Arabidopsis thaliana: one gene and its partners. The protein of the gene in region 1 interacts with the protein of each later gene in a pairwise test. Each region holds a gene or a part of one and is shown in the gene's direction. Other genes may lie near its edges.

The links.
Region 2: the proteins of TTG1 (region 1) and GL3 interact in binary tests that used the Arabidopsis thaliana proteins (3 or more experiments, as listed by UniProt).
Region 3: the proteins of TTG1 (region 1) and TT8 interact in binary tests that used the Arabidopsis thaliana proteins (3 or more experiments, as listed by UniProt).
Region 4: the proteins of TTG1 (region 1) and AT5G47390 interact in binary tests that used the Arabidopsis thaliana proteins (3 or more experiments, as listed by UniProt).

What each region holds. Positions count from the first base shown.
Region 1 is NC_003076.8:8,368,517-8,375,281, reverse strand, and holds TTG1 (Transducin/WD40 repeat-like superfamily protein), read left to right. Parts: upstream 1-2,434; 5' UTR 2,435-2,548; coding exon 2,549-3,574; 3' UTR 3,575-3,575; intron 3,576-4,101; exon of another isoform or gene 4,102-4,150; intron 4,151-4,275; 3' UTR 4,276-4,965; downstream 4,966-6,765. Other genes in the region: AT5G24510 (60S acidic ribosomal protein family), read left to right, coding at 5,416-5,484, 5,644-5,856, 5,934-5,987; AT5G24500 (fantom protein), read left to right, coding at 6,567-6,765.
Region 2 is NC_003076.8:16,526,564-16,535,183, forward strand, and holds GL3 (basic helix-loop-helix (bHLH) DNA-binding superfamily protein), read left to right. Parts: upstream 1-2,526; 5' UTR 2,527-2,734; coding exon of another isoform or gene 2,735-2,736; 5' UTR 2,737-2,869; coding exon 2,870-3,015; intron 3,016-3,356; coding exon 3,357-3,638; intron 3,639-4,217; coding exon 4,218-4,314; intron 4,315-4,411; coding exon 4,412-4,483; intron 4,484-4,803; coding exon 4,804-5,637; intron 5,638-5,721; coding exon 5,722-6,156; intron 6,157-6,231; coding exon 6,232-6,303; 3' UTR 6,304-6,724; downstream 6,725-8,620. Other genes in the region: AT5G41320 (stress response NST1-like protein), read left to right, coding at 7,879-8,620. UniProt on the Arabidopsis thaliana protein: Transcription activator, when associated with MYB75/PAP1, MYB90/PAP2 or TT2. Involved in epidermal cell fate specification.
Region 3 is NC_003075.7:6,178,834-6,187,631, forward strand, and holds TT8 (basic helix-loop-helix (bHLH) DNA-binding superfamily protein), read left to right. Parts: upstream 1-3,047; 5' UTR 3,048-3,233; coding exon 3,234-3,370; intron 3,371-3,589; coding exon 3,590-3,841; intron 3,842-4,222; coding exon 4,223-4,319; intron 4,320-4,507; coding exon 4,508-4,522; intron 4,523-4,604; coding exon 4,605-4,661; intron 4,662-6,345; coding exon 6,346-6,592; intron 6,593-6,676; coding exon 6,677-7,428; 3' UTR 7,429-7,690; downstream 7,691-8,798. UniProt on the Arabidopsis thaliana protein: Transcription activator, when associated with MYB75/PAP1 or MYB90/PAP2. Involved in the control of flavonoid pigmentation. Plays a key role in regulating leucoanthocyanidin reductase (BANYULS) and dihydroflavonol-4-reductase (DFR).
Region 4 is NC_003076.8:19,223,868-19,230,548, forward strand, and holds AT5G47390 (myb-like transcription factor family protein), read left to right. Parts: upstream 1-2,901; 5' UTR 2,902-3,133; coding exon 3,134-3,416; intron 3,417-3,577; coding exon 3,578-3,786; intron 3,787-4,073; coding exon 4,074-4,679; 3' UTR 4,680-5,028; downstream 5,029-6,681. Other genes in the region: AT5G47380 (electron transporter, putative (Protein of unknown function, DUF547)), read right to left, coding at 1-108, 185-260, 507-604; AT5G47400 (sphingomyelin phosphodiesterase), read left to right, coding at 5,295-6,681. UniProt on the Arabidopsis thaliana protein: Transcriptional repressor. Direct regulator of the transcription of peroxidase (Prxs) and reactive oxygen species (ROS)-related genes via the recognition of 5'-ATCACA-3' motif.

The sequences.
Region 1 (6,765 bases):
TTAAAAATCGAGATGTTACATATGTGTTAAACTTTCTTTTTTGTCTTCTTATGTGATATCAAATTTTATGATCTTATCGATTTTAATCAGGTATATCTTGGTATAGCCTTAGATTTCATAATCGCATATAAAAATCATAAATTATGTAGAAACTAGTTATAATCAAATAATATTTATTTCATATGGTATACCAAAATTAAGTATTCAATTGCTACGTGGATATTAATAATTTGAATTCGGTAACATACTCTTTTTCTTTTTGTTAAACCAAAGAATCTCAAACAAAAGTTTTTGATCATAGTTACTAAATCATTTTTGGTGAATAACCGAGAGAATGTCTCCCGACTTCTATTAAAAAACAAAAATAACAATTACACAATCACTCGTCTTGAACAAACAGGTCTAGAAACATCATCCCGTAAGATTTCATCCGCACACCGGAGAACATAAACAAGAGCATAAAAGCTTAAAGACAAGCATAGTTTGTTAACATGTCCGTAAAATGATTAGCCTCTCTATATGTGAAACACGGTCAATCTAGTTTTTCGATAAAAAACTATAGCGCAAACGTACTGGAAATGATAGCAGATGAGAGTCCCATAACCTTGTCTTCAAAATCTCAACCACCATTTACCACAAATATGGGGATGAAAACAGGCAAACGGTCTCATACGTTGTAAATAAGCATTCTTAATGTCAAGTTGGTAGATAGGCCATAAAATAAGCATCCTTATGTTTAGCGCATAGCCTCCACACCATTCACCCTCCTCATTACGTATCAGACCACCACCAGCCGCGAGTCTCGAATTGCCATAAAATACCCCATCAGTATTTAATTTAAACCAGCCCATAGACGAGATAAGCCATTTTATCAGCTTCTCAACCCGACCAGCCCTTTGTGTTGCCTTTCCGCTACTAGCTCTCGCCTCCAATACCTCCTTAGCTAACTCTCTTATGAACCGCACCCTATTCTTCCATACTTTATTCTCCCCAAAAACTAGCTAATTGAATTACCAACATTTGATCAAGATAATATACTAGGTAGCTAATTAATGAGCTCATTTTTTTTTGTCGTCAATGGGCTAATTTATTAATTACAGTATGAACTATTGACTATTATTCTAAATAAGTGAATATCACGAGTATGTACGAATTATTGGATGTATCTATTTGTATTGATTGATGTAATATCAAATAGTATGAATTTGGAGTAAACGTGGGTTTGGGGTTGAAGCAGGTAGGGCATGTCAAAGTAGGGCGTCTTTCGTTATGTCCCTTTCCTCTAAATTTGAACCTCTGTCATTGTACAGAAAAATCGTAATAACCCATAAATGTGTTTTAAAAAACATTATTTCGAGTTTTCTACACATATTCTAGTCATGTTTAATTTGAATCTTTTCTTATTTAAGTAAGCTTTAGACATTTTTAACCTAAGTTTTCTTCTCCCTTCATAAATTTTGAGATCTATATAATGTTCTTACATTTTGGATCAAGATCTTCATATTCTCATTCCAATTAGTAAAAGATTTTTTCACCTTTTAATCTCTTATCTTTTATTTATATTCTTTAGTTATGTTTATGCTTTTCATCATATTTAGTGGTTAGTTTTTATTATTTATTTATTGATTCATGACTTATGCTAGATTATGATAAGAATTTATGTTACCACTTGATAAATCCTCCATTTGACATGTGTTTAATGCTAGATTTATATTGTCTCCAAATTTACAACTTCGATGTCTTATGATAAATGCCAACAACCAAATTTCAGATAAAGATTAGCAGACTAACTAAGCTTATTATTCACTTGCAAGGTGGAGTGATGTTGAAAGAACCCTCACAGACACGTCATTGGGAAGACTAAATCTCTTTTTAGCACGTTACACCTTTGAGATCGCGTTTATTCCATATGGAGAGAGAGCAACAATACGAGACATGGAGAGGCACCATTACCGCCGGCGCAACTGCTTCCAAATATTGACAAACAAATTTGAATCTGGATCTTCTCTATTCGTGAACAAGGAGATAGAAGCTACGATGAATGCATGGAAGCTTGGTTTGCTTTAATATAAACACTAAAGGGGAGTAGAACTTTCTTGAAAAATTGTATGCAAATTATTTACCGAATGTTAAAAGCTTTTTTCGAATAAATTTTACATTTTCTTAATAATAATAATAAAAAAGGATTGTTGATTATCTTAATCACAAACAATTTATTTTAGCTGAATTAGACAATTGTTAGTAAAATGATTAGAGTGTCACATATTAATGTTGTTAGTGTTTCATGTCATCCTAGTGATCCAATAATTAGGCCATTCTATAGCTCTTAACGTTAAAATAAAAGGCCCATTATCTGAATATACAGAAGCCCATTATCAATAGATACATTAAAAGATACTGATTAATCCAGAGGGTTTATATCTACGCCGTCTCCATTGATTATTTCTCCGTCTCTTGAAAAATCCGACTGACACTGACCTCAAAACTCTCCTCTCACTTTCGTCGTGAAGAAGCCAAATCTCGAATCGAATCAGCACCACACATTTCCATGGATAATTCAGCTCCAGATTCGTTATCCAGATCGGAAACCGCCGTCACATACGACTCACCATATCCACTCTACGCCATGGCTTTCTCTTCTCTCCGCTCATCCTCCGGTCACAGAATCGCCGTCGGAAGCTTCCTCGAAGATTACAACAACCGCATCGACATTCTCTCTTTCGATTCCGATTCAATGACCGTTAAGCCTCTCCCGAATCTCTCCTTCGAGCATCCTTATCCTCCAACAAAGCTAATGTTCAGTCCTCCTTCTCTCCGTCGTCCTTCCTCCGGAGATCTCCTCGCTTCCTCCGGCGATTTCCTCCGTCTTTGGGAAATTAACGAAGATTCATCAACCGTCGAGCCAATCTCGGTTCTCAACAACAGCAAAACGAGCGAGTTTTGTGCGCCGTTGACTTCCTTCGATTGGAACGATGTAGAGCCGAAACGTCTCGGAACTTGTAGTATTGATACGACGTGTACGATTTGGGATATTGAGAAGTCTGTTGTTGAGACTCAGCTTATAGCTCATGATAAAGAGGTTCATGACATTGCTTGGGGAGAAGCTAGGGTTTTCGCATCAGTCTCTGCTGATGGATCCGTTAGGATCTTTGATTTACGTGATAAGGAACATTCTACAATCATTTACGAGAGTCCTCAGCCTGATACGCCTTTGTTAAGACTTGCTTGGAACAAACAAGATCTTAGATATATGGCTACGATTTTGATGGATTCTAATAAGGTTGTGATTCTCGATATTCGTTCGCCGACTATGCCTGTTGCTGAGCTTGAAAGACATCAGGCTAGTGTGAATGCTATAGCTTGGGCGCCTCAGAGCTGTAAACATATTTGTTCTGGTGGTGATGATACACAGGCTCTTATTTGGGAGCTTCCTACTGTTGCTGGACCCAATGGGATTGATCCGATGTCGGTTTATTCGGCTGGTTCGGAGATTAATCAGTTGCAGTGGTCTTCTTCGCAGCCTGATTGGATTGGTATTGCTTTTGCTAACAAAATGCAGCTCCTTAGAGTTTGAGGTGAGAGTTTCTGTTTCGCTACATAATTCTCATTTGCTAGGCCTAGATTCTAATGAGGAAGCATTGATTATTGGTTTAGATTGTGTTGCATTACAGATAGTCTTCTAGGTTTGGTAACTAAACGTTTTTTCGATTCTTGATAACAAAGCCACTAGAGATTTGACACTAACTCGTTTTAGATTTACCTGAATCAATATCTCTGTTAAAATCAATTACTTTGTTATGCATACATAAATCACAGTTTAGTAGTCATATATATTGGCTCTTATTAGCGACAGGTCTCACACTTGCTGTAATGGCTGATAGTGTAGTAGTCATATGTTGGCTTTCATCTAAGTTGATGTATCATATGATGAATAGTTGTACACTCGTCAGGTTCTAATTTTTACCCATAATTCTTCAGTCTATTTTTTTTTGAGACAATCTATTCTTAATTTAACGAAGCCACTAGCTACGTATACAAATATTGTTAATTTAACGAAGTATCTGAGAATTGTTTACTGCTGACTGTGCTGTATGCCCTCAGAAACATATAGAAGTGGAATTGGAAACTTCATGCTGGTTTGAACATCTTTGTATGTGTGCTTCAGGTTTTTGTAACTCATTTAGACAACAGCATTGCATATATACACGCACATATGCAACCTAGAAAATCAAATAACCTTTCCTTATAATTACTATACATTTCACTTGATGTCAGGTGCAGATGTGAAGTGATCAATAAGGATTTTAGCATAGACCCGTATAATCGTCATGTGCGTAAGTAGGTTTGGTTTGCGCTCCCTCTCGCTTTTAGGTCCGCAATGACTCTGTATCTATCTGATTGTAACTAAAACTGAATTCATTTGATGAACCAAATGATACTATTATCTTATGTTGTGTATAAAACCCAACCAGGATATATTGCGGTTTCTGGTGTTTAGATTTGGTAATTGGAGCTTAGTACAATGCAACCCTGTCTTGCTTTATTGGACGTCTCTAAGATAAATCAGCTTGCAATGAATTCCAATGGAGTTTGTCAGTTTGAATTAACTTCTTTGCATAATTAACACAAAGATTTGCAGTATAAATTCCATTGGAAGACTTATTTGTTTATTTGACACAGATTTAAATTGAATTTCAATGGAGTTTCAGTCGACTATGTGACACAAAGATTTGAAATGAACTCCAATGGGAATTTGGTGAGTAAATTATTATAAACAATCCAATGTTTGACACAAATATTTTAGAATCTTCACATCTGAAGTCTTATAAATCGTAGCAAAATTTTCAATCTTGAAAATTATAAAAAATGAGAATTAATTTAAATCACTGATCCGATAATCTCCTCTAGAAATATAAGAATCTATAAACCATTAATAGTAGAATTCCAAAATGTTATAAATCTATATACTATAAATGAAAATTTTACTTTTTAACTTTTGTCTCCATAATATCATACCATACTTAAAATTTTATTTATTTTATTCTAATAATCACAATGTGTTTCTTTGTATATAAATAGAGTTTTTCTAATGGTTTGAGAAGTGATTTGGAAAACATGGATACTCATATTTTTTTCAATTTATAAGATGATCAAAATAGAAAATTTAGCTTATGAAATCTTTTAGATTTAGGAACAAATGTATACTCTAAAATGTAACTATTTGACATGTGTCAAAATGTTTTTAAATTTGTTGTGATCTTGTTACAATTAAGATCAAGCTACTTGTCAGATTTTATGTGATGGGTTAAATTTTACAAAATTCTAGCCCAAATATAAAATACCTACGTCCTCAAAACTTAAAATGCAAGCGATAATAATACAACTTAGAGTACAAAGAGGTTAAAGGTAGATAGAATGTCGACCAGTGAGCTCGCCTGCACTTATGCTGCTCTCATCCTCCACGATGATGGAATCGAGATCACCGTTAGTTTTCTTCTCTTCTCTCTTTCTTCAAATTTGTTTTCTAGCTATTGAGACACTGTTTAGCCTATGTTTTAGTCTCTAGAATCGTCATCTCTCTTTTCTTGCCTTGTGGTTTCAAACTGATCTCACTTAAGTGTTGTAATAATGTAAAATTATTAGGCTGAGAACATATCAAAACTGGTGAAAACAGCCAACGTGAATGTCGAGTCATACTGGCCTAGCCTCTTTGCTAAGCTATGTGAGAAGAAGAACATCGACGATCTCATCATGAATGTAGGAGCCGGTGGTTGTGGTGTGGCTCGTCCAGTTACCACTGCTGCTCCTACCGCTTCTCAATCAGTCTCTATTCCCGAGGAGAAGAAGAATGAGATGGTATTTATTATCACATTATTAATTACAACAAACTACTAAATCAAATACTAAATGGTATAATTGTTTTATAATCTTAGGAGGTGATCAAAGAAGAGAGTGAAGATGACATGATAATCGGATTATTTGACTAGAAGAGCTTCTTTTTCTTTGCTTCCAAATTTTATGAATTTTGCCTCATATGAATATTTTGATTATTTACAATTTATTTGATTGTTTATGAGAGACAACAAAAATAAATCAAATCTATTATTGGCTATTGTTTAATAAATATATACAACAACAAAAATATGGGGGAATTTCTTTTTCAATGTTTTTTTTTTTTTTGTCATCCGAAAATTAATTAGGACTCAAACGAGCCAATCCTGAGGAATGTTGTTTACAAATATAATATGAAGCGGTTGGGTACGAACTTTTCGTGCCAAAAAATCCGCTTTAACATTAGTACTACGAGAGATTAAAGATAGAGAAAAATCCGCTTTTCAATGTTTTTTGGTTTTAGTATTTTTGGATTTATAAAAACAAAACCATATGAAGACGTATTTATTGTTACCAAAAAAAAAAATGATAATAAGAAGACGACGCGTAGTTGAACTCAGGATTTTCATTTGTAGTTTTCCTGTAATCCAAACGGCGCACTGTTTTTAAATTCACAGCAGAGAGAAAAAAAACAAAACAAAGACGAGCCAAGATTTGTATCTTCGTCGTCTCCGATGCTAAGCTCCATCATCGACGACAAACCTGCCTCCTCCACTTGGCTCAACCGCCTCCGATTAAACAGAGGCCTCACAACCGACGATGACGATGCTTCTGGCAATCCACTTACTCTCGACGACTTTCTCCGCCGCAACCACCACACGGAAATCGCCGCCACTAGTTCCGCTTCCGATTCACCTCCATCTGCTCCAATTC
Region 2 (8,620 bases), 8.2 Mb from region 1:
TAGTGTAGTATTTAAATAACTTCACAATGGTAGATACAAATAGGTAGCTAAATTTTACTTTAATATTAGTAGAGTCTAAGTAAAATAATGCTATAAAAAGCAGGATAAAACAAAAGAGGATACGGGCTTAATGATATAATTAAATAAACGAGGTCTAATGTTCATTATGATTCTCATGGAGACGCAACAAGTAATAACGACAATTTTGGGAAATGACAAAATTATATAGTTGATGGCTTAATTAACGTCGCCAGTGACAATATTGACTCTTGGTCTCTTCTTTATTAATTGTTTCATTAAGCCAAATTAAGTATAATTTTTTGAATTCCCATCCAAATTCATGTGATTCTCTACCTCCTAAGATCCACCATGATCTTTGAATCAAATCATAAACAAGAAGCAAATCAAAAGCCCATTATTTACATAGTTTGACTTCCATTGACTTAGATGAACTATCTTACCTTTTTCTGAACCTTGAGAATTGAGATACATATAAGATGATGATAATATGCCTTATGAGGTGGAAAGTGGAACCACTTATGTTTCATTGTTAAACCAATATAGTATATCCAAATTAAAATATTATTTTCTCAGCTATATCCATATGTCATTTAGTATATGGGAAAACATACAGTTTTTTAACATAGAAGAGAGGATACAAACCAGTTAATAGCAAAATAGTGTCATGCTTCCATTGTCCTATACATAGCATTGAATCTCTCACATCTTCTCGTACATGCCCAAAAGTTTATGATTTTAATGGCCGTGTTTACAACATTATTTCTTCTGTGCCGTCTATGTCAAGAAAATAACAACATAGTATATACCCTATATATATATATATATTACTTCTTTTTTTAATTAGTTCCGTTTATATATATGAAAGAGGTCTTACAGAGGAGCCTTAATGCTCAGATACAATCAAATAAGATAAACATATAGAGACGAGTGTTCTAGTAAGATCAGTAAAGATGTGGTCTAATTTTGTTGGAAATTAGCAAACCATAGCGAAAGATAGGAGTCAGGAGATGGAGTTGTTGAAGTGAAGATGACGTCTTGATCCAAACCAGCAAGGCTTCATCGGATTAGGAGTTGAATTCCCCATTTAACTTGAGTTAGTATTCTGATTGAAAATAACAATATATATTAGTGTTACATAAGTTTGGATCAGACAAATTTTATATTGTTGTATCGAAAGCTATACCAAATTTCCTAAATATTACCCTCAAACATCAACACATCCGATTAATTTACCGAAACCTCCGATCAACAGCACTACGAATGTTTAGACTTTGATCTTGTAGGGGACCGAACGTGTATATATATTTTAATGTTTTCTGACGTCAACGTCTCTCTCTTTTCTAGATGTCAGAAAAGGAAAATAATAAGTACTAATGGTCCATTTAGCAGGGTTTTATTTAAAGTTATATTTTAAATAGTTGCATAAATACTTCGAAAATATAGGTTTAATAGTATAAGAGAATTTTGAAATATAATAATATTGTAAGTATATGACTATAGGGAGAATCAACGTCGAAAATGTCCATAACATTTTTATTCATTTTAAAGATGTGATTGCAAAAATTAAGATTGTGTCTGTACGTATTGGGGGAACTCCTCGAGGCCAAACATTAATTTCGTGTCTTTCTTTGTGTTTCCCAATTTTAGTAAAGACTGTTCTTATATTATCTCTTTCCTCCTCAATTTATCTATTATTGTGTTTGTGACTATAATTTAGATTCATAGCGATTAGCTTCGTTTTGACACCAAGTAAAAAGCTGATGATTTTACTATTATTATATATGTTAATCATATACTCTGATTTGAGACATTATACTTTTGGTCGTTTTGTGTACTTTTGGAAAATTCATAAAACGATGTTACTCACCGACAATAATATATTTCGATCACTCAAATAGTAATAAGACTGATTAGATTATACAAAATGAAAGAAATCATACGATGCTGGTTAGATTGGACTTGGATCACATGCTAATGGTATTCTAGTCAACATTGCTTCAAAGATCTAATAGTCAAGGAAACAAATTTTTTTTTTTTGGTATCAGTGGGGATATTAAGTGAGGGAAACATTTTTTTTCAAGAATAGATGGGTGAAAAGTTCAGCCTTGACGTGATAACATTTTAACTTTAAAATCAGTGTTGGAAGAGACACACAATGATTCAATATTCCCAAAAAAAAGAGATCTCTAGAACCACAAAGAGACTGAATAGAGAATTTATTGAAGACAAGACCACAACAATGGACATTGTAGTTCATTGTCTTAAAAAAAGGTTGTTCTTCCCAAATGAGGAACTAATCAATCAACTTCAAGATAAAAAGAGGAACAATCAATCAACATCAGCGTTTTGCTTTTTTCCTCTACTTTTGTATCCTTTTTTTTTCTCATAAATCATTAAAAAATTATAAGTACTTTTTATTTTCGTCATAAATGTCTTGTGTTTTGTTCTGTACACAACAAAGATGATATCGTCATATTCAAAGAAAAAAAGGATTCGTAGACAGTTCTTCTAGTCTTTCGAGTTCAAGCTCAAACAACAACAAAATTAATATTCAAAACAACATTAATAAAAAAAAAGTATGGAGTGACCAAAGAAAAAAAAAACTCTCAAACATTTCTCTGTTTGTTCCGGCGAAAACGGCAACTGTTTCATCAAATGACAAACACAAAAACCTTAACATCTAGTTTGTATCCTCTCTGATACTTCAAAAAAAATGTAAAGAGTTACAAGTTTCCCTTTTTCTTTCTTTTTTAGGCTATAAATTTAACATAGTATCTTATTTCTTTCTAAATCAGGACAAAAAGTTTGATTTTTTTCTTTTCTTTTCTTTTTCCCTGTGTGTGGTTTCATGGGATATAGGGATGAAGAAACAATGGCTACCGGACAAAACAGAACAACTGTGCCAGAGAATCTGAAGAAACACCTCGCAGTTTCAGTTCGAAACATTCAATGGAGTTATGGTATCTTTTGGTCTGTCTCTGCTTCTCAGTCTGGGTAAGTTTCTTAAATCATATTCATTGAACACTAGATATTGGAGATTTTGAAAGATATTGATGAAGTAAATTTCTTGATTTTAATTGGAAAATTAGATAAAACTTATGTGTTCACTTCAAATCAAAACTAGTGTTTAGTTCTACAACTCAAGACAAGGTTCTCTAGGTTTTTCTTGATTCCATTGATTTTTTCTTATAAACTCATATAAGGTTTCTTGATCTTCTTTAAAAGTTCAATTTTTTTTCTCTTCTTCTTGAAGTTCTTGATTAGTTCAAGAAAATGTTTTGTTTGTTTTCTTTATTCGATTTGATATTTGTTTTTGTTTTTCTATATATAAAAAGAGTTTTAGAATGGGGAGATGGATACTATAATGGAGATATCAAAACGAGGAAGACGATTCAAGCTTCGGAGATCAAAGCTGATCAGCTTGGTCTACGGAGGAGCGAGCAGCTTAGCGAGCTTTACGAGTCTCTCTCCGTCGCTGAATCTTCTTCTTCAGGCGTTGCTGCCGGATCTCAAGTCACCAGACGAGCTTCCGCCGCCGCACTTTCACCGGAAGATCTCGCCGACACCGAGTGGTACTATTTGGTTTGTATGTCTTTCGTCTTCAACATTGGTGAAGGGTAATTCCGTCTTTTCCTCTATCAGCATTGACATTTATTATGTGTCATGATCGTGTTGATCTTTGCCAGTTTTAAACAACGTGCCAAAATATACTTTTAATACTAGTAGGTCCAAGGATTTCGACTTTTATGGTTCAGTTTAGGTTTGTTAGATTTCAGGGTTCTGCAGGAAAAAAGTATGAGCTAGAACCAATTTTTTAGTTTCAGTTTGGTTTCAAAATTTAATGTCCGGATTTGGTCGGTTTCAGATTACAAAAGAAAAAGTTAAAACATAATTAATTTTAAATAATAATGTGTATATATATGCATTAGTATGTTTAACTCTATTCTACATCTAATAAATTTTATTAATTCGGTTTGGTTGCAGTATATTTGTGTTCGATTCGAGTTTAGTTCGGTTTATTTATCATCACAAAAGTTTGTTTCTGTCCGGATTAATTAAAAAATTCGTTTCATTTTGGTCTTTATGAACACGGCTAATTAACTTTCAATAATTATGAATATGTTAGGAAGAAAAAATGTGGAAAAATTAAGCTTAGAATGCATTGCTGCTTTCTAAATGAACCTGTCTTTTTGCAGAATGCCTGGACGGACGTTTGCAAACGGTGAACCGATATGGTTGTGCAACGCTCATACGGCGGATAGTAAAGTGTTTAGCCGTTCTCTTCTAGCAAAAGTAAGTTGTAGTATTGATGTAGTTGCTATGTAACACTTTTTTGCGATTTGAAAACACTAAAATCGTTCGTTTTTGTTTGCGTTTTGTGGTGGTTTAGAGTGCTGCGGTTAAGACAGTGGTTTGCTTCCCGTTCCTTGGAGGAGTCGTTGAGATTGGTACCACAGAACATGTAAGCCAATATTTGTGTTTTCTGCTTCCAATGTTTTAGAATAATTATTATGAAAATCCTTTATTAAGAAAAAAAGAATAATTATAAAATTACCACAATGTATTCTAACATTTCAATTTGACCCTTCAATCTGTCGAATAACGGTATAGACACCAAGAACACACAAACTAATATTTTAGTAGTCTCGATTTTTAAAGATTTCCACGGTTTGGTTATGACAAAACGCGAAAATACGGCTTTTGTACTTTTTACTAGCTCGTTGGTATAGTTATAATTGAAAACTTTTTCAAGGCTTTTTCTTGGTGTGTTTCGTCTCGTAGATTACGGAAGACATGAATGTAATACAATGCGTGAAGACATCATTCCTCGAAGCCCCTGATCCGTACGCTACAATATTACCAGCAAGATCCGATTATCACATCGACAACGTTCTTGATCCGCAACAGATTCTAGGCGACGAGATTTACGCGCCTATGTTCAGTACGGAGCCTTTTCCAACAGCTTCTCCGAGCAGAACTACCAACGGTTTCGATCAAGAACATGAACAAGTAGCAGATGATCATGATTCTTTCATGACCGAAAGAATCACTGGAGGAGCTTCTCAGGTGCAAAGCTGGCAGCTCATGGACGACGAGCTTAGTAACTGCGTTCACCAGTCGCTAAATTCCAGCGATTGCGTCTCTCAAACGTTTGTTGAAGGGGCGGCTGGACGGGTTGCTTACGGTGCAAGAAAGAGTAGAGTTCAAAGACTAGGGCAAATTCAAGAGCAACAGAGAAATGTGAAGACATTGTCATTTGATCCAAGAAACGACGACGTTCATTACCAAAGTGTGATCTCAACGATTTTTAAGACCAACCATCAGTTAATTCTCGGACCGCAGTTTCGAAACTGCGATAAACAGTCAAGCTTCACTAGGTGGAAGAAATCATCGTCATCATCATCAGGAACCGCCACGGTCACGGCACCATCACAAGGAATGTTAAAGAAAATTATTTTCGATGTTCCGCGAGTGCACCAGAAAGAGAAGTTAATGTTGGACTCACCAGAAGCCAGAGATGAAACTGGGAACCATGCGGTTTTAGAGAAGAAGCGCCGCGAGAAATTGAACGAACGGTTCATGACCTTGAGAAAAATCATTCCGTCAATCAACAAGGTATATTTATATAATCGATTCTTCAAAATTTCAAATCCATATATATCGCGAGGTAACTAATCTTATGTTTAACATTTTCGATAGATCGATAAAGTATCGATTCTTGACGATACGATAGAGTATCTTCAAGAACTCGAGAGACGGGTTCAAGAACTAGAATCTTGCAGAGAATCAACCGATACAGAGACTCGTGGGACGATGACGATGAAGAGGAAGAAACCATGCGACGCAGGAGAAAGAACATCAGCTAATTGCGCAAATAATGAAACAGGAAATGGGAAGAAGGTGTCGGTTAACAATGTTGGTGAAGCCGAGCCAGCAGATACCGGTTTTACTGGTTTAACCGATAATTTAAGGATCGGTTCGTTTGGTAATGAGGTGGTTATTGAGCTTAGATGTGCTTGGAGAGAAGGAGTATTGCTTGAGATAATGGATGTGATTAGTGATCTCCATTTGGATTCTCATTCGGTTCAATCCTCGACCGGAGACGGTTTGCTCTGCTTAACCGTCAATTGCAAGGTATACTCTCTAACCTACTTTTGGCTTAACCAGGATTTGGTTAACCTAGATTGACATGAAATGTGTTGGTTTCAGCACAAGGGGTCAAAAATAGCGACACCAGGAATGATCAAAGAAGCACTTCAAAGGGTTGCATGGATCTGTTGAAGACTACTTAGTTAAAATTGACAGCAAAGAAAAAACATTCCCGGTTTGGTTTCTATTCTTTGGTTTTCTTCTAACCGGGTTTTAGGAATTAATGTTATGTTTATCATTTGTTTTTTGTTTTTTTTTTGTGTCTTTTTTTCCGTTGCTTAACGTAGGTGAAGAGGAACATACACTATGCGTATTTTGTTTGAGGTAGATTATTTTAAGGGTATTAGTAATAGTAATAGCCAGTTTAGATGATTTTGTGTTCTTTTGTTGTTTAAGCACAAGGTTGATGTGAAATTACGGGGAAAAAAACATTAATGTGTAAATGAAAATTAGTGGTCAAAAAGCTTCACACGAAACGGGAGAAGATTCTGCATTTTGGCATTTTCATGGATAACAAAGAGGTAAAGTTTATGATAAGAAATCCAGATTAATTTCCTTAACTGGGTCATAAATGATTTCATTGAAATAACATAGTGAAAATCAACAAAAATAAATGCTGTAATATCTTATTTTTACAAATTTAGAGGTGTTGACCAAATTACTTTCTAATTTGCTTTATGTAATTTTACCTATCTAGTCATGTCTTATTATGTTTTACTTACCAACTCATGTTATTCTTTTCGTTTAATATCAAGGATATTTCAAACCCAAACTGAAAATAATCTTCATATATTAATGGAAAACCAGAGTACTCTTATCTTATCATTTAAAATCTTTGTGTTGACAAAAAAATCTTAAACAATAGTATAAAAACATGAATCTTATTCCTTTAAATTCTAAGGTGAATTCTAATTTACTTTCTAATTTGTGTAAAAATATAAAATATAGAAAAATGGGTAAACTTGATTATCAAGAAAAAGATCCAAATTGGAAAGCTAAAATATTGTTATTTAGAAGGTAGAACCAAAATTAATGACTAAAAATATTTTTCTTTGAATAAAATATACCTCATATGGAAAATATTTTTTCAGACAAAAACATAACTCCTTTCCTTTTTAACAGCAAAACCGAAAACATAAATTCAAAGATACATGTCGATTTTACACACAAAGTGTGCGATCAGACAAGACTCAAGGGAGAGATCGAGAATGGTGAAGATGGCCTGAAAATTCTTCTCTCCGGTAAGAACTTGCATTTACATGTTTTTATATATATCTCGGATATTTTTCTTAACTATGTGTGTACTTCTTAGTTCTCGAAAATGTAGTTTACAATAGTTTCTCTTTTGAATTAAGTCGAGATAATCGCAATACTACTCGGGTTTTACTAGATGCATTCTCTATTTACCTGTGTTACAGAGATGAATCCTTAATCTTGTATTTATGGATATGCTTTAAACAGTTTTCCAATTAATATTGGTTTATATTTGTTATCTCCTCGCCTAATATTCCATTGTTTAGAAGAACACTCCCATCTTTTTACAAAGTTGATGATGTGCTGATCCGTAATCCATTTCGATCTACAACAGACTTGTGTTGTTTATAGTTATCCATGTTGTGTTTTTTTATTCTTGCAGCTGTATGAAAAATCTTTGAAAGAAAGGTGCAATCTGTAAGAACAGAGTGAAATTAGACTGAATCTTTAAGAATGGGAGATGAGCCAAGATTCAGTGAGAAATGGGATTTCAGAAGGAAAGAGAACGACTTTGAAGATTCTTCAAGCGATGATCCAGATTCAAACTCGACCCAGCATCCTATCATTCATAACCCAAATCTTGAGTCGAATCAGATTGATAATGGAACAAAAACTGTGACTAGAGAACAACCTGTGAAAACCCGGAAGAGGAGGAGCAAGAAAGATGAGACTAAGCCTGAGAAAGTTAAGCAAGTAAGGAAAAGGAAACCGAAAACTGTTTGTGTGGAGGACAATAAGAAGAAAGATGAAACAGTTATGGGGACGGACGGTGTTGGAACGTTTATGGAGACGTTGCTTGATGAGCTTACGGCTTCTAGAGAGCGTTTAATGGATTGGGTGAAGACTGAATTGTGTGGAGCACCCAATGAAAATGTAGCTTCCCGTCCGCCTCCTAATAAGAGAGGAGTTGCTGCGGTAGCAGCAAAGAGACCTGTGAAGAAGAGGATGACAAAGAAGAAGAAGGAAGAGGAGGAGAAGATGAAGAAGAAGGAAGAAGAGGAGACGAAGGAGAGTGAAAAACAGAGCAAACCGGGTGAGAGTGGTCTAGAGATGTATATACCTGAAGAGAAAAGTTCAGAGATTGCTCACAACGGTCGAGATCGTGAATGTAATGCTGGGTCGTTGGATAGGTTAATAGCGAGCGGTCAAGAGATGAACACACCTAAAGAGAAAAGTCCAGAGATTGCACAAAACG
Region 3 (8,798 bases), on another chromosome or scaffold:
CAATACATGAAAAAATATTATAACGGGTCAAAAATAGATTTAAGAAAATTTTCTACTGAGTACTGGGTCATAATTTGAATATTTATATTCAATTTCATACATATTATTTTAAAAATTTATAATCTTATATACTACAATAATTAATAACATATTAGACTTTTTTAAATATAATTAATATTTTGGATATTAAATTAATGTTTGGGTTTTTGAATACTCTTTTTGGGTAACGGGTAATTTCTGGACCAATCGGATATCCACGGGTTTACTAAAACTCTACCCAATAAGGAAATTTCCTAAAATTTTAACCCGCCCTAACCCGGTTTTTTGGTTCGGGTATTGGGTTGGTTATCGGGTCCGTATTTTGTCAGCCCTATCAAAGATAATCTAATATATGCTCCAATTAGGTCCACAAATATAACCAAAATACTATACAAAGACTAATTCTAAGTTAGGCCAAAAATTAGATCCACTAATACAAAGGAAACATGTTTCTTACCAAAACAACTTGTATACAAATTTTACACATTTACTTAAAACTATATATGTTATATTTATTATAAAAATAACATTTTTAAACAAAGTCAATCCAATGCAGCATTATATGCTAATAGTAAAAACATTGAAAAATATTATGACATCGCTTTTATACTATACTATTTCTTATGTAATTGAAACAAAGTATACAATTTAATTTATACAAAATATTAATGCTCGTGCTGTATAGCACGGGTTATGATCTAGTAACACTTCATTTCCAAAGGACAAATCATACCATTATATCCACCTTAGGATCATGGACTCATGGTGCCAGATATTTTGCATCATTGCCAAGCAGAATGAAAGATTTTCCTCCACAAGAGATTTGAGTTTATAAATATTTGGTGAGATTTAACAAAAAAAAAAAATATATATATATATATATATATATATATATATATATATATTTGGTGAGATAAGTCTTAACTTGCTACATTCAAAGAAACTAATTAAACCAAAAACCAAACACTAAAAGAATAGTAAATCGTCAATTTCATATTAGATGAGCTAATAAAGCATCACAGCAATAAATTTTGTCTATCTCCATCACTTACACCCTTTTTTTGTAGATAATGTAATTTCTTCCTCAAGATCTGAAGAATCATAAATCACATAGTTTAGTCAATGTTACAATACACACGACTAAAAGAAAAATTACAAAATTTTATTGATAGAATTTAAAATATACCACTAGACACTAGACTTTTGTCTTTTCATTAGTCATTACCGCTTGATATTTTTACTATCTTACGCATGTTATGAAAGATTATAAAGCTTAGGTTTTGGGTAGCAAAAAAGGGTTAGGAAAAAGAAAACCATACTATTTGTTATCCGAAAATGTCAAACTAATTCCTCTAACTGTGGTAAAAGGTTATAAAATCAAATCCTCTAGATTGATGTAAGTGATTTTTAAATCGTTATTCGGTCAGATCACAAGTTAATGATGAACTTTTCAGGGTTCAATACATGGCGATTTTAGCCATGGATCCCCAACGGGATCATGGGATTACGGTCCAACTGACCGGTTTGGACCGGGTCTTAATATATTGAACAAAATACAAGAAATCTCTCATTCACACGAATGATTACATTTCAGAAAAAGAAAGAAAAAATAACTCAAAAAACTTCACACCAATTTGCATCACACTATATTACCCATTATTTTTCTACAATTATGTGGTCCACTTTTCAAATAGTTCACTCTCATCATAAACCGGCCGGGGTCCTTCAAAGCTCATGCAGTTGTGCGTTGTAAAGATATATTGTATTCCAACAACTAATTCTTGCCAAAACACTTTTGGCTAATGTCATTTTCATTGAAAACAAAGCATTATAAATAGGAATGATTTGTCATTTCTGGAATGGAAGAACTTGGGTTTTAGTTAACATTTGTGCCTAACCAACCTCTCGTTTATGTACTAAAGCATTGTCCTTGTGATTGTGAATAACCAATCGCTCATTTCTGTGTTAGAACAGTATTGTTTATTTTCTGTTATTTGAATCATTTCCAATGAGAAATGAGTTACATAACACCTTTATTTATAAACACAAAGATGCACACAAGGAGAAGCAAAATCAATAAGAAGAAACCACTCCACGTGGCCCGTCGTCAGAGTTACATAATTGGTGAACGACTAAACTCAGAAGAAACAACATGTAATAAGAAACACAGAAGCAGAAGCAAAAGCCAAGCAACATTTATTTTGTCGACAAAAAAGCCAAGAAACATTCAATGTTGATTTTGTCTAAGTAACCAGGTGTACATACATTACCCTTAACCATACCCAAAATCGTATGTACTACGATATGTGTACGTAACAGTATCTATCTACATTTATATTTTATAAGACATTATTAAATGGGAAACTTATAGTGGCTAGTGGCTGCTACTTGGCTAGCAATTAACATCAATAATTTAATAACTCAAATGTGAAACATCTCATTCTTCTCCTTTATTACACCAAACCATTTCTCATTCTTTACTTACCGGTCAGGTCAACAATTCTACCATTCCCCATCTTTGGTTAAGTTTATCTTTTCATTTTAAAGAAAATATATATGAATGTTCATCCAATAATTCCAACTTCTTAAAATTGTTAATGAACATTTTAATCAATATATAATTTTAATATCAATTTTATAAATAATAGAAATGTGAAAAACGCAATTTCTTTGCTCCTTGTAGCAGTAACACAAGTCAAAGCAACATTTGTTTTCATTTGTTTGTCAGTTAGCTATTTTATCTACAATAATATGTTATGCTTTCTGAACAATAAATAAATATAGCATTATTAGATATATTCATTCTGTATTTTGATTTGTCCAATTAGTATATGACACGTCTACAAGATACATAGATCTTTCATTATTTCACTTTCTCATCCAACGTCTGGTGAACCAACCATTCAAAAATCAAAAGTCAACTTTTAATGCACTTGAGTTTTGGTCATGCATTCATATACATACATATATACATAGAAGTCATTACATGCATTATACTTTACTTATGTCAACATGTTGCAAAAGCACTAAGATGATATACGTATACATGCATATTGCAAAAATCAGTGGTCCCATACCATTTTAAGTCATCATGAGCGTATGAGAGTAAATTCTTCTCACATATTAATAACAACCCTTCAAAGTTATAAGATTTTTAGAGAGAGAGCTACCACGTTTTCGTATCTCCGGGAACGATGGATGAATCAAGTATTATTCCGGCAGAGAAAGTGGCCGGAGCTGAGAAAAAAGAGCTTCAAGGGCTGCTTAAGACGGCGGTTCAATCTGTGGACTGGACTTATAGTGTCTTCTGGCAATTTTGTCCTCAACAACGGTTAGTTTCTTATCTCTATAGTTCATTCATCTCTCACAATACAACCATAATATCTATATCCGTATATATTATGTAAACTATATGTTTAAATGAATTCGGCTAATTGTTGGCTTGTCGTAGTGTTACAATTCGATCTTGAAATAATTTTTTTTTTTTTTGAAGGTTTTACAAAATTTATTAAGATTTTTGAACTACTTATATGAAAGTATCATTGTTTAGGGTCTTGGTGTGGGGGAATGGATACTACAACGGTGCAATAAAGACGAGGAAGACAACTCAACCAGCGGAGGTGACGGCAGAAGAGGCGGCGTTAGAGAGGAGCCAACAGCTCAGGGAGCTTTATGAGACACTTTTAGCCGGAGAGTCAACGTCAGAAGCAAGAGCATGCACCGCATTGTCACCGGAGGATTTGACGGAGACAGAATGGTTTTATCTAATGTGCGTCTCTTTCTCTTTTCCTCCTCCATCTGGGTAAACAACTCTCTCCCTATACTCAAGTTTCTAAATTTGTTCTTTCTTTTTTTTCCTTCTCTAAGTGAAGACAAAAATAGTATTGTGTGTTAAATGCGAATATCGAAAATATTGTGTTGACATTAAAGAGAAACTGAGGAAGTTGAGTTACTAGAATAAGAAAGAAATGAGAGTTAATGAAACGTACACACACTACATTTTCATGAACATTATTGCGACCGTTGAGATTCTCATTGTTTGGTGATTGATTATCTAAAGTAGAAGCATGAATAGATATAACATAAATGCATAACAAAATGGGTTAGTTATGGGTATACTTCATGCTTTTCTCTATGTGGTAAAAAAAAATCAAATATAAATTTGGGAGGTAGTAATTTGTAGGATGCCAGGAAAAGCGTATGCAAGGAGGAAGCACGTATGGCTAAGTGGTGCAAATGAAGTTGACAGTAAAACTTTTTCTAGAGCTATTCTCGCTAAGGTAAATTCTTTTATTCATTCACCAACTATACTATGCATCTATTTTTACCTATTTATGTATACACTATACTATGTATCTATCTACTTGTAAACCTATTTATCTATACTTTTATACATTTTCACTGATTAACTTGAATAATTCTTCTTGTCGTTTTATGGGCCTTTTACGTCGGTTCCTCAATGACTTAGAGTGCTAAAATTCAGGTAAAATTTGTCTTTATTAGTTTGCTCTTTTTAGTAAGATTTGAGAATTGTATTCTGATGAAAATGTATTTTAAAAAAGCAGACAGTGGTTTGCATTCCAATGCTTGATGGTGTTGTGGAACTAGGCACAACGAAAAAGGTAACGTTGTATATACTCTCTCTTTTATTTACTTGTTAATGAAATATATAAACAAAATAACAAAGTGAATATAGCCTATCTTTCTTTAGGTTTAGTAATGTTAAATTAAGGAGATGCACTACAAAAAAAAGGTTGTTTTACATCATTTATTATAAATATTTGCATTAGTTAAAAGTGATGTAAAAGAATTTTGTATCACTTAAATAAGTGACTTAAATATTGTTGATGCAAATAATTTGCATCAGTTAATTAGTAACTGATGTAAATAATCAAAATAATTACATCGATTATTATAATTGATATCAATATTGTATCAGTTACTAAAAATGATGTAATGTTTACATCAATTTATTTAAGTGATGTTAGTATTTGTTTCGGTTTAAATAACTGATTTAATTAATATATATATAATTATTAATACAATGTTATTAATATTTCAAATAATTATTTTATTTATTTCTTTTTTTTTTTTAAATAACAGATCATTGTGGATAATTACTCGTTGGAATATCTACTAAAATTTTATCAAGATTTAATAAAATATTTTACATGAACAATAAATCTTTATATAAGATAAGCAAAAAAATAATCATAATTTGGTTTTGGTTTCTTCGTGTTTAAACACATCTTTCTTCTGTTCCATGCTTCTTCCTTCCATTAACTGTTGGTTCTTCTTGAAAAATACCATTTCTTCTTCTATGCCATCTCTCTTCCATTTACAGAATCAAAATCATACTTTGGTTATAACTTATATCTCTTGAATCCTCATCACACTTGAGTTTCTGCTGTACAAAATAAAAAAGAGAGTAATTGTTTGAAAATTTACAGAATTGTTTTGGTCGGAATAAGAATAACCATTTGTAAGTATTTTTAAAAGAAAGTGATAGAGTACCTTTACTTTGTGTTTCTCCAAACTGTGTAGGAAAACAAACAGTCCTAATGATCAATGGCAGATTTCTGAAAATAAAAGAAAAGAAAAAAACTGAGCAATGGTTAAGAAAAAGAGAAAGATAGAATGATAGAAAAATAAGAAAGTACTTGTCGTTGAAGATGAAGAATTGAATGAGAGTTATGAGATTTCAAAAACTAATTTGAAGATATTCTAAAAACGTTTTTGGATACAAAACTGTAAAAAAAGATCGTGAGCGTAAAAGCAGGATTTATAGTGAAGGAAACAAATATATTTAGTTAGCTGATTTTGAGGGAAAATATAGGAATTAATAATAAATTATTAACCCAATATGATTATTTATTTATGGTAATAACAATTTCTCGTCATCTACAATAAATTCAAGTTAGTTTTTTGTTTAAATTAAAATACAGAAAAACTTATTAGCATCACTTCTTATTGATGTATAATTTTATATCATTTTTATAAACTGATGTTAATAAAATTAAGTGAATACATCGGTTATTTAATTGGTGTAAATACAGATTTTTGTATCAATTTGTTAAAATGATGCAAACTAATACAAATTTCTATCAATTTGATTAAAGTGACGCTAAACATGTTAATTTATACATCACTTATTATAATTGATGTTTAATTATTTATTTTGTGTCATTTGCTTATAAGTAATTTAAACTTGTACCATTTATACTTGTGATACTATTTAATTGATGTAATCTATCCTTTTTTTTGTAGTGATGGATCAATATTTATTTGTTGTATTTGTGTGTGTAGGTAAGAGAAGATGTAGAGTTTGTTGAGCTCACAAAGAGTTTCTTCTATGACCACTGCAAGACGAACCCAAAGCCGGCTCTTTCTGAACACTCCACCTACGAAGTGCATGAAGAAGCCGAAGACGAAGAAGAAGTAGAAGAAGAGATGACAATGTCAGAGGAAATGAGGCTTGGCTCTCCTGATGATGAAGATGTTTCCAATCAAAATCTACACTCTGATCTTCATATTGAATCAACCCATACGTTAGGTATATATATCTACCCTAAGCTACTTATATTTTGCGGATTTATTTCGCTATATCTAAGAAATTATCATTTGTATATATATGTAGACACACATATGGACATGATGAATCTAATGGAGGAAGGTGGAAACTATTCTCAGACAGTAACAACACTTCTCATGTCACACCCCACAAGTCTTCTTTCAGATTCAGTTTCCACATCTTCTTACATCCAATCATCGTTTGCCACGTGGAGGGTTGAGAATGGCAAAGAGCATCAGCAAGTGAAAACGGCGCCGTCGTCACAATGGGTGCTCAAACAAATGATCTTCAGAGTTCCTTTCCTCCATGACAACACTAAAGATAAGAGGCTACCGCGGGAAGATCTGAGCCACGTAGTAGCAGAGCGACGCAGGAGGGAGAAGCTGAACGAGAAATTCATAACGTTGAGATCAATGGTTCCATTTGTGACCAAGATGGATAAAGTCTCAATCCTTGGAGACACCATTGCGTACGTAAATCATCTTCGAAAGAGGGTCCATGAGCTTGAGAATACTCATCATGAGCAACAGCATAAGCGGACGCGTACTTGTAAGAGAAAAACATCGGAGGAGGTGGAGGTTTCCATCATAGAGAATGATGTTTTGTTAGAGATGAGATGTGAGTACCGAGATGGTTTGTTGCTTGACATTCTTCAGGTTCTTCATGAGCTTGGTATAGAGACTACGGCAGTTCATACCTCGGTGAACGACCATGATTTCGAGGCGGAGATAAGGGCGAAAGTAAGAGGGAAGAAAGCAAGCATCGCTGAGGTCAAAAGAGCCATCCACCAAGTCATAATACATGATACTAATCTATAGACCCTAACTTTATTGATGCCAACTCTAGAGAAGGATAATTAAGCGTATTTTTGTTTTAGCCTCACATGTATTAAGACATCAGTTACATATATAGCCGGATGCAACATATAAATGAAAATGTACTAGATGATATTGTTCATTTGTCCAATGTAGTACTTGTGTATGATGCAATTGCAACATATAAATGCAAATGTACTAGATGACGATGTTGTTCGTTGTCCAATTTAGTACTTTTGTATGAATGCGATATTTGGATGCAGATTCAGTTGCATCTAAAACATCATATTTTTTTTGATGCATAAAGATGTAGAATTTCTATGTAGTTTTTTCTTACGTTCAAATTTGAGAAAATATTATTAAAAAATCTTTACAAAATTCATTAAAATAATTTATGCCAAAATTTGTATGTCATAATTTATGTAATTTTATCATTAACCTCAGATTAGAGAAATCAAAGAGTTTATATAAAACATTACATTCTACTTTGGTGCTCAATTTTAAGAATCAAGTTGTAGCACATCAAATTACGAAATCAAATTTTCCAGCAAAATTACGAAATTGCGTTTTAGTGTAAGAATCAACAATTTCTAGAGTAGACTAATAGTTATACTCATAATTAGTGTATGGAAGAACATTTATAAGTCAAGAATATTAAGCTATCAACCAACGAGATAAATGTATTGACAATGTTCATAGTTGCAGCATGAGCTATATATATTTTTCTCTTAGTTGATCATCATACATTATCAAAGCTGCAAGATGTGTAACTGCATTGGCTCCACTTCCTTTGTTGTCTTCTTTCTTGAATAGTGGTGTTCAATAGTGTAAGATATCTTTCTATAGTTTCAGCACTTAGCAGGCTGCTTAAAATTGGCCTGGCCCATTCGATTCTTTGATTTCGGTATGAACTGTTAGAATTCTGATTGAATTCAGATACCAAACCTTGCCAAAAAGAAAAAAAAAACGGTTTAAATGAATATTAACTTACTTTGACCAAAAATTGATGGCAGGGTAAAAAGACTCAAGATAATCCAAGGTCAAACCTATTTTAATTTCAGAACTTTATAATAATCGTTTTAAACTGAAATTGGTTTAATGTAAAAATTTAACCAACCTGAACCGAGAACTACAATCAAAGTAAACAGGAGATTATATTAAATCGAACCACTCTTACAACTCATAGGGGTGGGCGTACGGTTTTATGATTTGGTTTTGGTTTGGTTTTTTCGGTTTTATAAAAACTATAATCATAGAAAAACAGAAAAACAGTATGTAATTCAGTTTGGTTCCGGTTCGGTTTTATAAATATTAAAACCATATGTATCTCAGTTCGGTTTGGATTCGATTTGTTTTTGGTTTGGTCCCGGTTT
Region 4 (6,681 bases), about 11 Mb from region 1:
GCGTTCCAAGGATGCTCTGTCGTTAGAAGACACATTGTTTTTAGTTAACATCTGACAATTATGCAGTGGTTTTGGTCTCTTGTTTGCTGTTGTTTGAACAGAGGATGCCTATGGACCAGAAAAATACAAATCAACCTCAAAAGAAAAAAACAATCATATGAAATACAGCTTTAAAGTGTCTTACTTGCATTCTAGTGAAGTTGTTTGCAGATTGTGAAGCTCCATTACCAGAAGTGTGAAGATCCCGCTCTGACGACGCACTGGGAAGATCATAAACAAGAATTCGTTCTAGCCTCTAGGAAGAAACATTCTAAACAGAAAAAGCTCTAAAACAGACTTCTTTGCATAACAGTCTCTATCTACGTCGTTTTCATCATAGAGACGTTTAAGCAAACATTGGTGTGCAAGAAACATCGAGAGATAATCTCAAAAACCCATTAATGGATTTAAGATAAAGATTCAATATTAGTGAAAAGATTGAGCTTAAACTATTGAAGCGAGAGTACCTTTTAGAGCGGCCATGTTTATGAGAATCCAGGCAATGCCAAGAATCTCCGTTTCTTCTCTGCTTGTTACCGTCTTTATTCAAATCAAAACCACCCATATATCTCAGCCAAAACCTTAAACTCAGATGATGAAAGTAATCAAAGTCTCCAAAAGAATCTCAGTAAAAGAAGAAATTGATAAAGGAGTGAATTCAAATGCAGCAAAGGAGAAGAAAGAATGAAGAAGTAAATGCAGAGACGAAAACTGAAACTGTAGCTTAGCCCATAAGAAAGGGGACCAGGTTAGTAGTATCAGAGTGCCTGCCAAAATTCAATTACATTTCACTTTATGGTTGTTGTATTGCATTTAATTCGATTTTTTTTTTGTCTCATTTTAAATTCATAGTTCCATTTCCCTCCTTTTTTCGAGAAATACAACACTTCTAGGTTAGGAAAATTCGCATAAATAGTTATACTCTTAATTTTCTCTGGTCAAATAATATTAAGAACACGCTACAGTAGGACAGTGCAGTAGTTAATGTTGTCATGTCGGTCCGAGTACATTGAGAATTTAATGTTCCGATATAAATTTCCTTGTTTTTTCCCAATTTTGAAAAGTCCGTTAAATTTTCATATTTATTCAACGAGACACTGTACTTTCAGTTTCCACCGAAAAATAATTCATTACTCATCATTTATTCAATGTTCGATAATTTCTTGGAAGCAGACAGCATTTGGGCCTCGAGATTTAAATTGGCCCAAGGTCCACGTTTACTTGGGTCAATCACAGTCAAAACGTTTTCCCGGGGTTTCTCTCAATTTTTTTGTCAAAGTCTCTCAACTTTTAAAAATACAAACACTGGGATCCTCCACGGCATGCAAAAGGATATTATAATGAAGATGAAATCAAATTGGTATAAAAAGTTGGAGAAAGGTATAAACACTATGTATGTGGCTAAAAATAGCTAGAAACTTATAATTTAGGTGAAAGAAGATTTGAGTAACGTTGTTGTTGTTATATAATAAGATGAAATAATGACAAGAAATCTGAAATAATATGCGAATATGCCACCGACGGGAGAAATACACGTGGACGGCTGATAAAGCTTTGTGAAGGAATCCCACAATAATATAAGAAGATCTGACCAAAGGTTCCTTTCTGGATAAGCCGCTCTCCTCGTGTCCACGTGGCATTTTCAAACGTGGGACCTCCTAATCTATATCACTAAACCCATCCACTCATATTATCTCTCTTTCTATCATCTAAAATCCAAAATGTTCGTCCATTTTTTTTTTTCTGTTCATAAACAAAAACTGCATTGCCTTTTAATTTATTCTTCTTCTAATCCATACAAATGATTATGGAACTATAAATCTATAATAATAATACAATTAACCACAAAATAAAATATATCTTAGTATTATAAGATATGACTTTTGGAGTTAGGGGGTGTCTAATACAAATATTATGGTATTTGTAATCTTAGCAAGAAATGAAATCACAATCATGTTTATCTTTCTTAAGATAACATATTTTACTCAGTCATGGGTCTACTTTTATTTTCAGTTTAGATTATTAAATAAATAACAATAGTTTTGTCGCCTTACTATATGACCAAAAATTAGATTTTCTCTATGTGTAGGATGTTGGCATTTGTTTACCATTTTTCTTATGATAACTTATTAAACAGATGTCATATTTTACTTATTTGTGTTTATAACTGTTAAAATCTAGTCAAGCTTTCTGTATGGAACGCGTGAAGGGCTATTAAGATATTTTAAAATGTTGAATAGTGTAATTAATCTTGTGGCTAATAATATTCATGCCAATTGTTAATTTCTGGTGGAGGGTTAACACTTGTACATAAATACTTAATTTTTCTTTTTGCAGTTTTTGTATAGATATCCATCCTTATATAAATAGAAAAATATAAGGAAATTGTAATGATTTAGCATAAGACAATTGGATAATCACAAATGCATTAAACCTATTAACTAGTCTATATAGAAAGAGTTATTAGTTACAGCTATACTATTTGTGGTGGCATTAATATATAGTAACTTATTTAAGATATATGTCATAATGTTAAAAAGAAATCACAGAGAAAGCTGTTATTTTTTTTAATCCTAAATTTAAAACTTTGGATATTGAGATTAGCCTGTAATACATCTTTTTCCAAAAAATTTATACAAAAATGGCCATTAATAATTAATAGTAATAGCTAGTTGGACTTCTTAGTTCAAAGTAATTCAACATTTTTTCTAAAATAAATCTTCTAATAATAGAACACGTTGGATTGACTAATTAAGTCAAATATGAAATATGGAAAAGGAAAAAAATCCACCAACGATACACCAAATAATTTCCGATTTTTATATATATAAATAAACATACTAAGAGCAAAAGAAAAACAAACTGAAAATAAAAAAAATAAATAAATAAAAAAAAAAATCCGGCCAGATAAATCGAATTTATGTAATAAATCCGACCAGATAAACTGATATTATTGTCTTTCTTCCGCTCCTTTGTCTCTCTATCTCTTTCTCACAATTAGATTCTGTGCTTCTTCTGCGATCAACTAAGATCCGATCCGCGAGCGTTTCAGACTTCGATCAGATCCGATTAAGAGAAGCAAATCGGGTCGGGTATGACTCGTCGATGTTCTCACTGCAATCACAATGGCCACAACTCTCGGACTTGTCCCAATCGCGGCGTGAAGCTCTTTGGTGTTCGGCTCACCGAAGGTTCGATCCGGAAAAGTGCAAGTATGGGTAATCTTAGCCATTACACGGGTTCTGGATCGGGTGGGCATGGAACCGGGTCCAACACTCCGGGTTCTCCGGGTGATGTCCCTGACCATGTCGCTGGTGATGGTTACGCTTCTGAGGATTTCGTTGCTGGCTCTTCCTCTAGCCGCGAGAGAAAGAAAGGTATCTTCGTTTGATTTCTGAGATTAAATTTTTTATCAAATTCCAAATTTTTGTAATTGAGTTTATTTTGCATCAAAGTCGTTGATTGCATTATGTAACAAGTGGTGATCTGGTTTATGTAACAAGATTTTGATGTGTGTTTGATATTGGTTTTGTTGTAGGAACTCCATGGACAGAGGAAGAACACAGGATGTTCTTATTAGGTTTACAGAAGCTGGGTAAAGGTGATTGGAGAGGTATCTCAAGAAACTATGTGACCACTAGGACACCTACACAAGTTGCTAGCCATGCTCAGAAGTATTTCATCAGACAATCCAATGTCTCTCGTCGCAAAAGACGTTCTAGTCTCTTTGATATGGTTCCTGATGAGGTTTGTTCCTTCTTCATTCAAAAACACCATTTTTATTTATATTGGAGTGGTTACAAAATGTGTTGAGATACTGATTTAAAGGATTCAGAAGCTTATTAGGTGGATTGGTTTGCCTTCTACATTTCAATATGAAAAGTTGAAGTCTGTTGGGGTTCTAATTGATATGCTTGAGGATATCATTTTGTAGCCAATCCTGCTTAAGCATTTTGGTCTTCTCATGGGAATGTGATCTTGAAATGTAATTCTCTTTCTTTATTCTGCTTATGCTGTGTGATTTGTCCTTGTAGGTTGGAGATATTCCCATGGATTTGCAAGAACCAGAGGAAGATAATATTCCTGTGGAAACTGAAATGCAAGGTGCTGACTCTATTCATCAGACACTTGCTCCTAGCTCACTTCACGCACCGTCAATCTTGGAAATCGAAGAATGTGAATCAATGGACTCCACAAACTCTACCACCGGGGAACCAACCGCAACTGCCGCTGCTGCTTCTTCTTCTTCCAGACTAGAAGAAACCACACAACTGCAATCACAACTGCAACCGCAGCCGCAACTACCTGGCTCATTCCCCATACTATATCCGACCTACTTTTCACCATATTACCCGTTTCCATTCCCAATATGGCCTGCTGGTTATGTTCCTGAACCACCCAAGAAAGAGGAAACTCATGAAATTCTCAGACCAACTGCTGTGCACTCGAAAGCTCCTATCAATGTTGACGAGCTTCTTGGTATGTCTAAGCTCAGCCTTGCAGAGTCCAACAAACATGGAGAATCCGATCAGTCTCTTTCATTGAAGCTAGGTGGCGGGTCATCTTCAAGACAATCAGCATTTCACCCGAATCCTAGCTCTGATAGTTCAGACATCAAAAGCGTGATACACGCTTTATAAAAGACCTGAGGAAGTGATGGTCTAAAATGGGATCTGGTTTGGGGTTTACAGGTTAGTTGTTGGTCACAGTAACTTAAATAAGTTTTTCTTTGTTAGGTTGTTTAACTTGGGTAGGATGTTTTAGTTCAGCTTTGATCATTAGGGAAAAGAAAAAAGAAAAAAAAAAGGGAGAAAAACAAATTATTATTTTTTGCTTACATTTCTTTATATTTGTATGCTTTTATTTTGACTCTAGGATGCGTTAATTTTCGTTTAATCTGTACTAAAAATTAGAATTTATTAGTTTTGAATAAATAAAATCACAGTTTGTTTATCCTCTGACCAAAAACTATAACTGGATTGAAAACGGAAATTAAACCAAGACGAACCGGATTTAACCGGACTCCAGTGTTGTAAGAGAAAGTAAACAAGTTCCCAAGCGTTTCGTAAGTAAAAAAACGAATGGGCTAAACAATTAGTCTAAATGGGCCTTAAAAGAGTGAATAACGTGTCATAATCAGGAGCGTTAAATTTAGGGCGATGAGTGTCGAGAGTGTTCCCGCGTTCACCGATTCACTCCACTCTTTGGTTAAAAAGTCCACTGTCATGGAAAATTAATCGCGGTGATTTACACAGATGCCACGTGGCACGTTCGCTTTCTTTTTCTTCCTCGTGTTGATTTTTTTTCTTCTCTTTTGTCCCTCTTTGGTTTTTCTTTTCCCCTTCACAAGGCGCGATTTGAGTCGCCTCGCATTTCAAACCCTTCTTCTCCGGCGTAAACCTTTGCTCTATCTCTCGATAAAAACCCTTGTTTCGTTTTCACCTTCGTATTTAGCGATGCTTCCACACTCCTACACCGTCGATTCGCTTTCGCAATCACAAGACCTAGCTTCAGCTATACTCTCAGCTTCCACGCCGTCGAGTATCTCCGCTGCTTGCTCTTCCGTCGAATCGTTTCTTCAGTCGCATACGCCTGATCAGTGTCGCCATTTCTTCTCTGTTACTTTTCCGAGTTTAATCTGTAAGATCTTCGGTTTCGGCGACACGACCGCGGCATCTCCGGCACAGTCTTCTTCGCTGCGACCGAACGGTTGGATCGATGTAATCTCGGCGGCCAACGATTTGGATTTAGCGGAGAGAGTATACAATCTCTTATCCCCTAGTGGAATACTCATGAGCTCAATCTTCGCTGTTGATAAATTAGCTCTTGTTAAGTATGTTTTCCCGACGGAACGTTTACCGGAGTATGCTAGATTCATGCTCTCCAGCGAGAAGGATCGAATTGCGTTATCGAATCTGTGCCCCTTTTTGAAAGGTAAAATTGAGGAGGATTCAGTTCGTGGTTCATTGTGTGAAGTTAGGCTAAATGTTTTTGAGTATTACATGTTTTGGCTCTCTTATTATCCAGTTTGTAGAGGAAACAATGAGATTTCAGCTGTGAATCTGAATCCTATCCAAAAGAGAAACAAGTTTAGGCTAGAGAATTGGACACTTATCAAAGGTTTTCCAGGGAGTAACAAGCGTGATTCTGATCAGAAATTGGAGTGTAATCTCTACATAAGGCTTCTTTACTCTTATTTGAAAGCATTTGTTCCTGTTTTCGACTTAAACGCTCACCAGCCTTATCGTAGTTCTCTTTTGCATTACGGAAATGGGTATGATGGGTCAGTGATGACAAGAGCTGAGTTCTTGGTGAATGTTTTCGTGCATTATTGGCTTGTTGAGAATGACTTCTCACCATTTCCTGTTGTTACGGCTAAATCTTTTGGTGTGGCTCCTCCTTTCCGTTCTGCTGTGGAGGAGATTCCACCTACTTGTGGGTTGGAAGAAGTAGTGAAGTTGCTTGTCAAGTATCTGAATTTGAGTTGGGTTACAAGTGGTGTTGGGAGTGAAAACTACATTGAGTATGGCGAGAGTCCACGGTGGAAGACACCGACTTCAGGATCGTCATCCCATGTCGCGAATTTGAGCCTCAGGCCGCTCACTTCCTGGAACACCCATTTACAGAGGCCGCTTTATCGTT